Linked DNA regions of Drosophila melanogaster. The protein of the gene in region 1 interacts with the protein of each later gene in a pairwise test. Each region holds a gene or a part of one and is shown on either strand. Other genes may lie near its edges.

The links.
Region 2: the proteins of CG10663 (region 1) and lcs interact in a two-hybrid assay, tested with the Drosophila melanogaster proteins (one large-scale study listed by BioGRID).

The regions. Positions count from the first base shown.
Region 1 is NT_037436.4:12,483,230-12,487,165, forward strand, and holds the start of CG10663 (uncharacterized protein), read right to left. Parts: upstream 1,807-3,936; 5' UTR 1,572-1,806; intron 1-1,571. Other genes in the region: CG33725 (uncharacterized protein), read left to right, coding at 2,461-2,526, 2,585-2,902, 2,966-3,127; CG10660 (uncharacterized protein), read right to left, coding at 3,583-3,936.
Region 2 is NC_004354.4:21,396,090-21,399,315, forward strand, and holds lcs (la costa), read right to left. Parts: upstream 1,228-3,226; 5' UTR 1,192-1,227; coding exon 754-1,191; 3' UTR 638-753; downstream 1-637.

The DNA.
Region 1 (3,936 bases):
GCAGTGCAGCTGGCTGATTTATTTTTTGTGGCTCTTTGGCCGGCTAGCCACAATGTCTGGTATGGCCAATCAAGTGTCGTTGTGTGTGTGCAACTGCGTGTGTGTGTGTGTGTCTATGTTGCATGACCGCGGGCCCGTTTAACCAAATGCAATTTTAATGACGTGACCAGCTACTAAAAAAAAAGCCCAATCGCTGCGAGCTGGCTGTCGCTGGCTTTTGTTTTTCCTATTTATCTGCCGCCGACTAAGTGGGCAGTTCGTGGGCAGCATGGGCCATTTGAGCATTTGAGCATTTGGGCATTTGGGCATTTGGTATTGTCCACAGATTTTGGCCAGCTTTATTTGTTAGTCAGCCTTTTGTAATCGGCGGGGCATTAAGTCTGCTGTGCGACATCGGCCACATGAGTTGTATTAGCGGAAGTGTTGGAAATAAATCATGCTTCGCATCCACGCACACAAAGCGGCGCACACACAAATGCACAATTTTCATCGACATCGATGGGGCATCGCAAAGACGCCGACGAACTGCCTCCGCCCAGCACCCCACAAGCCGGCGATCCCTAGGCACCCAGCATCCGAACATCCGGGCGAGCGAATCCACATCCACGCATCCATGGATCCCCTGCCCGCCGCACCGCACCACCAGAACACCCAATTTTCCACAGATGAATTAAATGCATTTTAAACACACATGCAACAACAGATGGGGTCAAATTAATAGCAGTGTACGCCGCATATGTATCTTCAAGATTGATAAACAAACGCACTGTGTACTTTTTCGTAGATCAATCATTCGATTCATGATGTAACTGTCTTATAATTACAAAACTCTTTCTATATTCCAGTGAATACAAAACTATCTAATACATTTTAAATGCATCTTGGCTGTATTTTAAATATAACTCCAAAGTTTGTAGACAAGCTTCAAAATTATTTTAAACATTTGTTTTAGATATTCGCACCTCTGTTTTTTTTTTCAAGTTCCATAAACATTTCCGTTCCAAATTCTCATTAACATAATTTATTTTCAAGACAACCGAATGTTTCAACCACAAAAATGTCTTTTTGGTAACTAAATGTCGCAAAGATATAAATTTTGACCAAAAAACATAATTAATTAGGGGATTTTTCTATAGGCGCTACGAAACAGAAGTATTTTTTTTTTTTTTTTTGAGAATCTTGCATGATTCATGGGAAATATGCAACATAAAATCGTTCACACTATATTTTAGTTTTTGTGCGTTTTTTTAATTGCTATTATTTTGACTGCATGTGTAGAATAGCATGCGTGCAGATCCAAATACATCTGCGTTCTCATGGGTATTTGTGGCTATGCGAACGCGGATTGTTTTCATGAATGAAACATTTTTTATTCCATTTATCACTTGGCACCATGTCTCCTTCAGCTGCACTTCGATTAGCGACTTGGCAGCATTTTTGTTTCGGTTTAAGAACTATAAACCGACGCACTTTGCATATAAACACGGCTAACTGGCCCATACATTATTTGGCTTTTATGACTCGAATATTGAACTGTCAACCGTTTAGCGTTAATTTTACCCAACGATTACCTAGTTGACACCACTGGATCGCTCGAGTTTCCTTCTTTTTTTTTCGAAAATGTTTCAAAATCCGTTTTGCGCACACATATTGAAGCAGTTTTTATTTTTACATTGGAGAACCACGTCGGATGTCGGATGTCGCCTCGCAAACTCCGCGTAAACAACCCGATCCCGTCCAGGCCCAATCGTTCCGTATCCCGTATTCCGTTCCGTTTCGTTCAGATCCAATCCGATCCGATCCGATCCAACCGACGTCTTCTCGAGAACTGAGACTGAGCGAAGCAAAACGCCAACGCTCCGCGGCGAGCTGAAAAACGTCGCGTTTGCCGTTGACTTTTCCACACACATGTTGGCCGTGCACAGTGGTCTGGAACCGAGTGAAAAATGTGCGGATCGCTTTGAAAATCCCAGGGGGACGCACAAATGCTTCCACGATTTCTGCGAATTGCGAATGCAGGCAAAGGTGCTAGTACACCGAGAAAAACTCAAACGAAGTCTGTTCTACTCTAGTACAGAAAAAATATTTTTTAATTTTACATTAATCATTGATCTTCAAAATGCTAAAAATAATGTTTTAGTTTAGTTACTCGACTATCTGCTTGGATGAACTTGTTAATCCCGATCAAGGATCAAAAACAGCTTCTTTTACGTCTTTCGTTGGAATCGATTTCTCGTGCAAAAGATAAAACATAACTGATAAAAATTCAGTATGGAAATAAGTAAACATGTTCATGTAATTTGAAAATAATTACAATTTAAACAAAGCAAAAAAATAAAAGTATTTAGATATGAACATATGTATAATTACATTGTTAACTGGCGAAATTGCTAAATCGATTAGTATTTTGATAATGTCATCAAATACAATTAACATAAATAACAATAAGTTTTTAGTACCATGTTGTCAAAGCTAGTTACAAGTATTCTCTGCGTCGCAGTTGGCATTCTCGTCATTGATTTAAATGTAAAAACAAAAGAGTTGTTAAGTAGTATAAAATAGTTACATAATGTAACCTTCACAGGATGCCGTCGTCTTCAAGTTTACGAACTTCGCCTGTCTAAGTCGCAATCAATCCTGGTTTGTGTTCCACAATTGTCGTCTGAAGGCGGTCAGTCGTGAGAAGGTCTTACTCAACTTTAATGGAACGGTTCTACATCCGGCCAATAACATAATAGTTCACGTCAAGCTGTTTAAAAAGGCCAACGGTTTTAAGCCTTGGTTATTAGACGTAAAACTCGATGCTTGTCGCTTTGTGCGGACCAACTTCCATCCGTTTGTACGCATTATATTCGATCTCTTCAAAGATTTCTCCACCATAAACCACACGTGCCCATATGTGGTAAGTATTTTAAAATTAATAACTCAACATTTAATTTGGTATCACAACATTGCATTACCACAGGGCCTGCAAGTCGTAAAGGATTTCTATCTCAGGCCCGAGAAATTGAAGCTGCCATTTCCATCTGGAGACTATTTGCTATCTTTAATATGGATATTCGACAAAAGGCCACAGTTCGATACGAATGTTTCTTTTGTTTATGCAGAGGATCTCATAAACGCATAATCATCGAAACTAGAGATCGACTAACAGATACCCATTACTGAGCTTGTGAAATTTGAAATGAATAAAATCAAAATATTTGCGGGCCCGGTTAATTTGAGAAACTTTTTTTGAAATATTTTCGATGGACAATTATTGAAACTAATCCCTTTAAAAAAAAAATACCCTTCCATGCTGATTATTTGCAAAAAAACCAAATAAGGCACAATTATTTTCACTGCACAGCTATTGTACTTCCAATGGCAGTAAACCGAATGTTACACTCCATGGACGTTCAAATGAGCCAAACTTTCCCAAAGAAGCACTTCACAATTCGCAATTAAATTTAATATTTTTAACGATCGCAAAGTAAATGCATACAGCAGAAATACATATATATGCACAAGGGAATTTCTATATCATTAAACTTAGGATTTTTGCTATGTACATTCAGTTTGGCGTGTTGATTTGAGTACGGCTTAGTGGTAACAGTGCCAGGCGGCCACCCGCTGACCTGGCGGGGATTCCCGGATGAGTCGCATCTGCTCGGAGCCCGTATCCCCCGCCTGATCTCCGCCGACTATGACGGTGCCGAGCACCAGTTTCTTGCCCATCTTCTTGGTGGCCAATGTGATGCGCAGCACGATGTCCTCCAACTGATCGAGTCTCTGGAGCGGTATATCTATCGTACCCTCACCGGATCCATCGTCCCACTTGGTGGACAGCGAGGGAAAGAAAATGGGGGACTTCCAGGCGTCTATGTAGATGCCGTGCTCGAAGGCCGTGGTCTTCACATACACACCGGAGCTCGCCGTGGCCTCCAGCTCATCCTT
Region 2 (3,226 bases), on another chromosome or scaffold:
AAAGTGTTTTTTTTTTTCAAATTTCTTTTTATAAGAAACCGTAGACCTGGAAACACATCCTGAAAACAAGAGTATTTATTAGAGGACACCCTAAACGCCTTTGTTCACTGGCACATAACCAGTTGAGTGAATGCGTGTGTGTTCGTTATGGCAAAGCCATAATCTTGTTGTTTTATAACTTTTAATGCCTCCTAATCCAGTTGCTGCTCCTCGGGCTCATCCTTTTAAGCTTCTGTACCTTCTTCTTGGATTCCACTAGCGCCAGTTCTGTCGCAAATTGACCAAATGCACTTAATTGGTAAACAATTTGGCTTTCACCCAAGCGAGAAACGAGGCCGGCTCGAATAAGTTCGATTCCAATTGGCCCGGGGAATGATTTGCTTCAAATTCTCAATGCACTTCCTAATCGCCAGTGGATAATTTAGCACTGGCATTGCATAATGCCATTTAACTAATTGTTCTAAAATTACTTAACTCACGAAAAGTTTTAGTATTGGCCGAAGTAATTAAATGGCTCGCGTGGTACTCGCATGTACCTTCTGGCTTGATACATCAAGTTGATCATAAGCCAAACATGGATGAAGATCCTTTGGATAACTATTTGGCATTCAAGGATTAACTTAGATAAAAAAATCACGATTGAGCTAAAAAAAAAAATTTATTACGCACAGATTCGCTTTTTGATATATACAATTATTTATGAACCCGGAATAGCCGAATGGGCAAAACTCGAAGGGGAACATGTCAAGCGATTTATTCTGTGGAGGATGCTGTGGATGATTCCGTCGAGGATTCCGTAGAGGACTCTGTAGTGGAGGACACTGTAGTGGACGAAGCTGTCGTGGTGGAAGTGCTTGTTGAGGCCTCAGTTGTCGTGGATGTGGTTTGGTTGGATGGAGGTCCCCATGGTTTGGGGCCTCCTGGTCCACCTGGTCCTCCTGGGCATCCTGGTCCTCCTGGGCCTCCTGGTCCTCCTGGTCCTCCTGGGCCTCCTGGGCCTCCTGGTCCTCCAGGTCCTCCAGGTCCGCGACCTCCTGGGCCACCTGGTCCGCCAGGTCCACGTCCTGGTCCTCCGCGACCACGACCTGGTCCACCAGGTCCACCAGGTCCACCGGGACCCCAAGGACCAGGTCCTTGGGCGGAGGCCACTGCGACCAGGGCAACAAGAGTAACAAGGATAAGGGTACGCATTTCGTTATCTGATAGTTAACGACTCGAACTGATCTCGGCATTACTTGGCATCGGTATATATACCCACCGTCTGCTAAAAGTCTCGGTGGCACATGTGTTCCATCGGTGACGTTTGCGCGTTGAGCAAACTAACGTCAGTGTGGATTTGTAAATTCCACTTTCCAAGTCAGTCACTTCGCAATTGACATTGGCCTTCACTCTGGGGTTCTGTCAGATGGAAAGAATATGAGTTTGTAGACAATGGTTGATTCATGTTTAGGTTTATTTCCAAAATTGTTGGTTACAAAGCTTTGTTAATGAGTCTATAAAAAATATATACTCTTCTCTATTTTTTCTGAATTTAATAAATTATTCATATTGAAATGGTACTATTACACATATTTGAAAATAAAGTTTTATAAAATTGAATGCTGGATAAATGCGTCTTAAAATCAATTGCATCTAAAACTATTTCAGTTCAGAACTTAACAATGCTTTTACCTTATGGTAGTAAAGTACGAATAATTTCTACCAGCTGTTTGGATTGCTTTATGGATCTTACATAAAGGAATCAGCAAGTTCCGTGAGCCATTATCTAGCTAAATATTTGCGCTCCATCCATATGTGATGAACTTTGTGGCCAGGCGTCAGTGGACTTGATGTTTATAAACCATCAATCGTGTCTTTGACAAGAGTGTGAATTACCTAAGAATAAGGATGTTTGAACAAGTGGTTCCGTTAGGCTTTAATGAAAGTCAAATTTGCAAACACGTAAAGTTGAAAACAACTAAGGAAAGAGAAATCGTAAGAAATTCTGGAAAGTCTATTATATAAATCTTTAAGTTGTTAATACTACAGAAATGACTTACTTAACATGAATTCAGTGCATTCTTACTATATGTCGATAGTAAAAAAATCCTCTTGGGGCTATATTACCACTTACCACTTATTAGTGCTTTACTCAAAACTCAATATAATGTGACGATACATCTATGTATATGCTTATGTACACTAGTCGGCATAAGTATTTTGACAATATAAACGCAGTAAAACTTTAAAATATTTTGATATGACAACAATGATTTTTGTTGTTGTGTGTAAGTAACATAAATTTAAAAATTAACTAACGAAACTTAAAAATATATAAACAATTTAATGAAATATGATGATTTTTTGTATTGGCTTAAAGTTTTTGACAAGCCTTTAACACCTCAGTAAATAAGTTTAATTGAAGCTGGAGCTTAGGAGTAGGGAACCAATTAATAAAATATATATCCACCTTTGGCATAAATAACTTTTTGAAGTCGGTCCTTTACTGAATCCACCAAATTGTAAAGGATCTCTGGATCCTTCCTCTCTTTTCGGAAGGCTGGTGGTCAGATACCACTGAGATTGGTGTTTTGGAAGAGGATTTTTTTAAATTCCCGTATAAGGATTCTGTCGTCAGCGAATGTTGTTTTGCGCCTAGGTTTAGTTCTTTTTAAATTTTTCAAAACTTTTTAATTTGATAATACACAGAATGGCGTGACAAATTAAACTCTTTCGCAATGTTTTTTTTACTTTAATTCCAACGTTAAATTGTGCTACCATTAATCCATTAATCTAATAAACAAACTTAACTTTTTACACATACCTATTAATTATTTTTTTTGTTTTTAATAACGTTTAATAACCAAAAAAAAAAAAATAATAATAACCAATATATTAAAGCTCAAAAGCAGGATACCATTTAGTAAATGGTTGTCTGCGTGCATTCTTGTAAGTAGAAAGGGAATGCAATGGGTAAGCCGTAAACAAATTTGCATTTGGTGTGCTAAATGTTCATTCATCATTCATGAGCAATGCAAATGCTCATCGTTTCGCTCTGTTTGTTAATGTCAAGCGCAAGTAAGTTTTAAAAGAAGCAGGCTATTTTGTCAAAATAGTTACTGGTGTAACTGGTGTATGTGATATGTATTTCCTCTTATTTTTTTTTTTTGGCTACGCAAATGTTCTAGAAATAAAAGCGAACGTTATTGGCCGTGGAGGTAAGTGAAATTTCATCAAGGTTTTTGTT